2 linked regions of the Coturnix japonica genome follow. The protein of the gene in region 1 binds, or shares a complex with, the protein of each later gene. Links are inferred from orthologs where the notes say so. Each region holds a gene or a part of one and is shown on either strand. Other genes may lie near its edges. The genes, in order: AAK1 and PDZ and LIM domain protein 5.

Region 1 (3,807 bases):
CTGCAGCAATTGCACACAGTAATTACTGGGTAAGGTTACCATCTGCTGAGGACCAAATTCAAACAGCAATTGTTCCTAATGCAATTTTTCAGCCGCCTTGTACTCTGGGCCAATTCCAGGCCCACTGCAGTCTCCCTGCTATCTCAAGTACTCTGGGTACTGCCTTAGAATAGATGACGCAGTAGATTCATTTAAGTGCATGAACCTCAACTGCTGCTGTCAAGCAATGTCTTCAGGACAAAGCCTAGCTGTTGAGTCATGCTGAGTATTGCCCAAATCCCTCCCTCCTCTCACACAAAAATTTCCAGCATCTGCATCTTCTGTCTTTCAGATCAATGGATATTTATGTCATTGAAGCAAAGCCTCAGGACTGCAGTGTTTGTCTCAATATATAAACGTAAGCCCAAGAAGAAGCAGCTAAATATGCCAAGCATCTTTTCTAACAGAAAGCAGAGAGATAACACACAGTCAAAGAGAGCTAACTGTAATGAAGGTGTGGTTACCTGGCCTTTGGTTGACTCTTCTTTGCTGCAGCTTCACTTGCTTTGACTGGGTCTGGGAGTTTAGCAGGGATAGGAGAGTTCTGCAGATCCCAAAAACACTGAGTTTAGTACTTTGTGGGCGGAAAACAGTCAGAAATCATTTGCAAAAGCACAGCGATGAAATTTGGAGGTTGAAGAATCCCCAAAGCAATTATTCCTCATGATGGGCAAATGACAAACCCCTCCTTGTTAATGGCATGAGAGGAGCTTGGGTGAGCATTTCATGAGGAAAAAGATATGGTTCAGCTTTCTAAGCATATTCTACATGTGCTATGAAGCTTTGTGTTCAGATTGCAAATGTTGGGTATTCAAAAAGAATCTGGGAAGGACAGTACCAAGCAATCAATATAACACAGCAGCATCCTCAATATTTAGCAGCTGCCACCCCCAACTCCTCACACAACATCAGACCACTCCTTCACTACTCACCTGGACATTCTGGACTGGACATTCCTTCTTTGCCAGTTTGAATGCAAAGTAGGAGACCTGATAAATATCAGGTCTCTTATCAGGGTCTGGCTCAAGCATATACCCTTTAAAAGATACATCAGAAAAATGGAACAAATTCATACAAGGATGGTCTAGGAAATATATATATATTTTTTAAACACTCCTATGAGTATCTCCTGGCTGCTATTGCAGGCTCTAAAGAAGGGGAAATACAAACTGCTTAGGGAATGGTGTAGGGTTTGACTTCTGCATTTCCAAGTGAGCCCACAGGAAAAGAGGTTGACACAGCCCTAGTGAGTGTGTGGGGCAGGAAGACACACAGACCACTGCCTTTATATGAGCAAAGAACATACCAGGGTGCTTAGAAAATAACTGTCACTCAGGGTCATGGCTAGAAAAAGAGTTTAAAAAAAATATGCTGTACTCATGAGAGAGCTTCCCCAGCTCTGCCAAGAGTAACACGTTGTACCCTTAATTACACATTCACTCTAGGCAGTAGGTTATTTATAAATCATTTCAGTTCTGTTTCCCAATTCACATAAGACAAATTCTTATCACTGGTCTAAGTCACCGTGGTTCTTCTCAGTTCTTTATCCAAAGAGATTTGGTACTGGAGAAACATGTTTTTGCATAAATAGGCTTATTTCTAAGTTAACATAGGACTCTTAAACCAAGGTTTTCTCTTTTCCTGCCTTTCAACAAATCCCTGCTGGTCCCAAGCTATGAGGAAATCATTACATCCATTCCTGTGTGCAAAGCAAGCCTATTACAGCAAGAAACACCAACTGTTCTGCTGCAGGAACTCACGGATGAGGCAGTGCATGTCCTGTGAATGCCGAGAGTTATCTGGAATGGTGAAGTTGCCATCACAGATTGCCACCTGACTCTCCCCAAATGGCAAAGTGAAATAACACAGCTTGTACAGCAAACAGCCGAGGGCCTGAAGACAAAAAGCAGAGCATGTGAGTTAATTAACTGAAAGATGCAACAAGATCCCCAAATCTACATAGACCTTACATTGGTGTATGCTACTGCATGTAGACGCACAAAAACTTTTCCTGCTCCCCACATACAAAGCAAAATTAATAGGGAAACCAAATGGCATCCATCATCCTTAATTATGAAACACTGCTGCCATCCCAGAGGGAGCAGGGGAACACATTTCCTAATGCAGAACAACTCACCATCAGCTTGTGGCTTTTGTTATAGGATTTGATAATTAAATTGTACTCCAATTGAAAAGAACCTCATGAGTTTTGGGGAAAGGAAGGTGCCAAGCAGGGCAAACCACTGCAAGAGGCCTTAAGCTAAGGCTGTACTCTGCACATCACTGTATTCTTGTATGGGAATGCAGCAAATGAACAGAACAAAACTCCTTCAAGGCCAAGAAGAAGAGAGTAGCTTGAGCCTCTGTCTCTACCTCTCTACATGATCACAAAGGGTACAAACCCAGGGTTCTCCTCTAGCTGCCTCTGAGGCCCTGACAGTCTTTTCATGCTGTTACAGCTGTGCCCTCCCCTCTCTGGGGCTCAGCAAGGCAAGAGACCCAACGCTGGTCTGGGGCCTAGGACTACAAACCTCCCGCTGAACTCAGTTCCCCATAGGAGCTGCTGTGTTCCTGACCCTTGGCTGAGCTCACAGATAAGACAGAGGACTCTTTCCAGCTGATGCCACGCCAGCAATTTTCCCTCTTGTATATGCAAACATAACTATCCAGGATCCATAAACACCCTCCTTACACTGCTGCTTCCTAGCTCAGGGCTTCAAAAACCATACAAACACACCCCAAATTAGCATTTTTAACACATCCTATTTGCTGAATTGCCACTTCACCACAATCAACAAAGGCTCTTCGTCCCAATTAAGAGGAAGCCTACCATCCTTTCATTGTTAGGTTATCTAGTAAGGGATTACACCACAGCTGCATTTTTCTCTCAATATAGAAAACATAGCAAGATTCACTCCTCATTAGAAACAGCAGTACAAAAGCCTGGTCCTTGGCCAGGTTTGATGACTCTGGGCTGCATTACACTGCCCAGAAACATACTATTATTCCTGAGGGGAGGCCTTTTTTTCCTCCATTTCCCATCTTCTGCCTAGTAACATCGGTTTCATACCCTTCCTCAATAGAAGCACAAGTTACAACACCATGAATCTTCTGTTTTATGATACAAAATCATGTTTGCACTGATCAATTCTGAAATTTCATACATCTCTATATTAAAACCACATGAAAAGCAGCATGCAAAGCACCAATCGTGTCTTACCTAGAAGCCAGCCTGTTAGCAGTAACTCAGAAACATCAAGCAGAGGAACTCTACTCAGAAACTATCCAACCCTATGGAAATCAGGCTATCCCCAGCCAGAAAGTTATCCTGTTGTTAGGACAACAAAAGCAAACTGCAATCTGGTTGTGTGATGTTAAGTGGGCTTTATACATACCCATATGTCTGCTTTTGTAGTGATAAGTTTGCCACTATACAGGTTGACCATTTCTGGTGCTCTGTAAGATAACGTAGTGTACCTGCAGCAAAAAGATCTATTGGTGAGTTTAATGTGGTTATCAGATGAGCTTTCAGTATGCCACATTTAAAATAGTTCAAAATTCATACTTTTCCTATTTGTTTTGGGGCAAACACTGAAGAAAAACTTGGTATTTCTCAACAGATCATCAACAACAGTGTGTGCTGCATGATTCTAACATGACAATACTGACACTGCAAACCATCCTGGGAAACCAAAGCAAAAGCAAAGATTCTTTCTACAACAAAAAGTTTACTCACAAAACAGGACAGTGTTTTTTAAGAGCTAGAAC
Region 2 (4,377 bases), on another chromosome or scaffold:
GAGCACTTGCTGAAAACAAAACAAAACCAACTGAGAAAGCAGCATTTTCACCGAGGGACATATCCACAAATTGCTGTTTATAACTCCCAGTTCTTAAGCGCAGCTTATTGCAAATAGTGGGATTTGAAAGAACAGGCACCAAAAGATCCTCCAACTGTTAAGAGCTGCTGAATAAACAATGGGAACATGAGTGATTCTCCCCTGCCGCCTGCCATGTGAACTGCATAGGCAGAAAATTGCCCATTTCCTGCCAGCCTCCTTCCTCATGTCACAACTTTCTGAGGGTGAGCAGGGAGGGGAATTCAAGGGTGCTTTCTTCCTGTTTTGCTGCATAGATAAAGCAACGATTTTAGATGAAGATGTACGTTTTCTTGGCGCCTTCAGACAACAAAGATGTATTTTCCTAGCCACCAAGCCACGGGGGCAAGTTGAGCCCAGTACCTCAAGGCTTTTTAGTCTGATGAAGGCAGCAGGCTGACTGCAGCACAATGGATACCCAGATGCAAGCAGAGGGGAGAACACACTCACCCGAGAGATGGACAGGGGCATGTTGAAATCCTTGCCACCTTGAAGCCTGAAACCCCAAGGAGCCGGGCCGACTAAAGATACACTGTAGTTGCTCATGGTGTTCAGTATTCAAGGATCCAAGCCAAGGACTTGATGCCTGCAGAAGAAGAGGATTACACCTTTAAATTAAAGAAGTTTAAAAAAACAAACAAACAAAAAAAAAAAACAAAAAAAAAAACACAGCCCATCACTTCCCCGTAGTATAAGGATAGTATAAGGACAGCCAAAAAATCTACATGATGTCTGCCATTACTTATACTTTCATTCCCCATGCTTTGCTGTGCTCGATTGATTAGAAAGAAACATAGGGAGCTGGCAACATGCTCTTATTACTTTCAAGATTTCTGGTGTTGAGACATTTGCATCTCAAGAGAAGCAGACAGTAAGAAGTACTTGTCAAACTTCTGACAGGATACTGTGGGGGAAAAAGGAAAACACCAAACAAACCTCAGTGCTGAGACAAGCATGAATTGATAGCATCCCTTAAATCCATGTATGGAAGAAGTTAGCACCACTGGCACATTCGTCTCTGATAAAATGAGTATCACATGCTGCCATGTCATCAGCTCAGAACTTGTTTCTCAACACATTATGGTTTGACAGTTTCAGAACAACGTCAAAATGTCACAACTTTGAAGTTAACCAGAAGAAAATAAAAACCCTATGGCTTTTAGTTTTACAGCTTAACATCACATTGACAGAACAATGCTACAGACAAGACGGATCTTAACACCAAGTCTCAAATGAAAGCTGCAAATTAAATTAAAATACTGACAGCCACATCGTAACAGTGAGGTGAAAGAAGAAGGAAAAAAAAAAAAAAGCAAAGTAAAACTCCAGCATCTCCCTCCCTTCCACGCCAATGCAAGCAACAAATTACCTTTAAAAGGCAACCTCCGCACTTAATTGCTGCCCAAAGCCACAGATAAGGGCTTCAGTTTCACCTCAGATAAGTAACATTACAATGACATCTTAGGTAGTGGATCCCGACTATTTTGGTATGGTTGAAGTAAGGCAAAGAAGACAGCAGAGCAGGGTGTAAGCCTACACCGCGGCACGGCCGGATTCCAGCTCCTGTGCTGACATTTAAGGTGGCACCACTGGCACACTGCAGAGAGTGGGCTGCACGCCACCGTGCACTGCAAGGGGATTTTAGGTTTCGAGGCAGAAAGGTTTGCAAAGGCACCCATTCCAGTGGGCCACCCGAGGTGTGGAAACCAGAGCGACCTCGGCAGCTCCCAGGGCAGCTCTACCCCCAACACTGGCTCAAAGGGCCCCAAAATCTTCAGCATGGTAAATGCCACCGCCCTCTCTCCTCCCCACCCCCATCCTTCCTGCTGCTGGAGAGGTTGAGAAGAAGAAAAATCACCAAGCGAGTTTGAGCTCTCAGGGGGCTTGCTCACCACTGAAGCGAGAAGTACAACCTTCGCTAATTCCTTCTGAAAGGGGATTTTAATTAGTCACAGATTTCCTCCCTTATGAAAGGGAGAATTCTTCTCATTCCCACTAAATGAAAGACACCACAGCAACAGGTCACCGTACCCTGGGGACGTCAGGAAAGCACACCGTGTACAGCGAGCAACACACGTGCGGTTCACGGGCACCGGCAGGCGGCTTTACCTCTGAGAAGAGCTCAAGGGTCTCATAACCAAGTTTAGAGGGGGGGAAAAAAAAAAAAAAGTAACAACTAGTTGCAACAACAGCTTCAGGAAAAGATGAAATTACGTTCAAACAAGGATGGTTTCCCCCGCCCCGTTCGAAACAGCTACAAACTGGGGAGAAAGACTGCCTGGTGAAATGCCTCGCGTGGCTCCCAGCACCTCTCCTCTCTCCTTTCTAACCCCCGCAACCCTGCACCTCCAGCCTCCCGGACGGAGCAGGAAGGAGGCGATCACTCGGAAATTCACTGCACTTCTCAAAGTGCGAGTGCAGCACCTAAACCTCACAAGCCCACTTGGTGTAGGGGGAATTGAGCAACCACGGATGAACTGCGCAACTTCCATCGGCTTTCACCAAACATTCGCTGGGTCGCCTTCTGGAAGGGGGAATTTCAAAACCCTGGCAGAAACGCCCGTCAACACGCGTGGGGACGCGGAACAACGGGGACCCGCGGAGGAGGCAGCCCTTGGGGCAGTGACAGCACCGAGCCGCCAGCCCCGCCGCACCGCCCTGGAGGGGCACGGATCGAAGCTCCAGCCCCAAGGCAGCGACCTGAGTCCGGCACCCTGCGGGGAGCTCCCCAGGCAGCCCAGCAGCACCCAGACACGGAGTTAAATTACAACAAAATCAACTTACAGGTTACGAGAAGCAGCACGAAGTTCGAGCCCCACCCCAACTTTCTGGCTTCCCCGCTCCCTCCCCGCCTAACCCCGCTCACTCACTCACCCAGCCCGGCGCTGCGGGGCGCGGAGCGACAAAGACACCCGCGGCGCGTCTGCCAGGCAGCAGCTCCGTCCCTCGCTCTTGTTTTCACTTCCGTCTCCCGCCGCTCCTCCCCCGGCACGGCCCGGCCCGGCACCGCGCGGTGGGGACGGGGCAAGGGCGGAGCGCGATGCCCGCTGTCCGGCTGCTGGAAACGCTCTAACGCACCGCTCTGGGGAGGACCTGAATTAGTCCCGATTCACTATTTTTTTTTAACAGGGAAATGCATTTCTTTTTCTTTTTTCTTTTTACTTTACCCTGCTAAAGGTGCACCTGTGAAACGCAGGGTGACGAGGGAGAGGAAGCTGAGTGTCCACACGTCACCCCTCTATCCTCAGCCTGAAGAAAGGAGCTGCTATTCAAACTGGTGCAAAGGGGCAGCCATAGCTTACAGCGCAGCTCATGTAGGCTGCCATAGCTATTCTACAGGGAACTCCTACAAAAAGAGTAGAACTTTGCTTTATTTACCATGGAGTACCAGGTGGAGTGATGAGGATATGATTGCCTCCCCAAACGCATCAAAGCAGTGAACAGCAGTAAGGCAGAAGAGATGTTTGAGCTACAAAACAGTGCACAAGAACAAATGGGTGTAACGTGACTGTGAATAAATGTAACTTAAAAATCAGCCATTAAGGGAGGCTTGTGCAGTAGCAGGTCCAGAGGCAGGACTGCTGGCTGGGTAGTGTGTTGCCATTCTCCACTGATCTGAGGCACAACTGGGGCCTGGCAGCTGAAAGAAGTGTAGAGAGCAGCGGCACTGCCTTGGAGGTTTAGCTGTATCACAGCTGGGAGAGGCCTGGAATTCCCTTCTATTCTTTGTGTTCATTAGAAGTGATCTCAAGTAAAAGTGGTTGTGAAAGAGACACACCTCATTAGCAGAGCATGCGGGACTGCAATCATGATAATTTCAATTTGGTCTTCAAGCACGGATTTGCTATGGAGGAAGAGTGCAAAAGAAAGCTTTAAATCCTTTGCTAAATCCGCAGCAAATGAAATACAGTCCATTATCATCATCCTGCCTAGCCCTTCTGTCCTTGCTTGGAAGCAGGGTAGCACTGTCCCTTGTCTTCCCAGTCCTAGCTGTGTGAGCTTTAATGGAGCTATTTAATGTCACCCCACTGAGCTGGCCATTTTCTTGGCTGTGCTGACTGAACCGAGTGAATCTCGCATCACATCTCAGCAACAAAAGCATCCAAGACCCTGCCAGTTTAGTTCCACTCTTCTGCAAATCTGTCCTCCTTACCCCGCTCTTTTCCTATTAAGTGTCTCTAATCAGGCAAAACTGAAAAAAACCCATTACACACATAGACTCTCACATGGTTTTAATTTGCAGAGGTAAAAATTTCCCATCCCAGGGATTCTTCATGGTGTCACAAGGGCTTTAGGTCA

The links.
Region 2: the proteins of AAK1 (region 1) and PDZ and LIM domain protein 5 are in contact, whole or in part, in a crystal structure (PDB 9F6S), measured with the Homo sapiens proteins. The link is inferred for Coturnix japonica from reciprocal best matches to the Homo sapiens genes AAK1 and PDLIM5. Residues at the interface, in NP_055726.4 of Homo sapiens: Asp956, Leu958, Ile959, Asp960, Leu961; in NP_006448.5 of Homo sapiens: Ala12, Pro13, Trp14, Gly15, Phe16, Arg17, Leu18, Phe24, Gln67, Ile70, Lys71.

What each region holds. Positions count from the first base shown.
Region 1 is NC_029537.1:1,354,794-1,358,600, reverse strand, and holds part of AAK1 (AP2-associated protein kinase 1), read right to left. Parts: intron 3,517-3,807; coding exon 3,435-3,516; intron 1,933-3,434; coding exon 1,800-1,932; intron 1,076-1,799; coding exon 972-1,075; intron 584-971; coding exon 504-583; intron 1-503.
Region 2 is NC_029519.1:52,281,599-52,285,975, reverse strand, and holds the start of PDZ and LIM domain protein 5, read right to left. Parts: upstream 3,066-4,377; 5' UTR 2,953-3,065; intron 2,213-2,952; exon of another isoform or gene 2,110-2,212; intron 1,723-2,109; exon of another isoform or gene 1,448-1,722; intron 1,366-1,447; exon of another isoform or gene 1,343-1,365; intron 1,039-1,342; exon of another isoform or gene 1,015-1,038; intron 1,006-1,014; exon of another isoform or gene 901-1,005; intron 844-900; exon of another isoform or gene 821-843; intron 665-820; 5' UTR 625-664; coding exon 529-624; intron 1-528. UniProt on the Homo sapiens protein: May play an important role in the heart development by scaffolding PKC to the Z-disk region. May play a role in the regulation of cardiomyocyte expansion. Isoforms lacking the LIM domains may negatively modulate the scaffolding activity of isoform 1.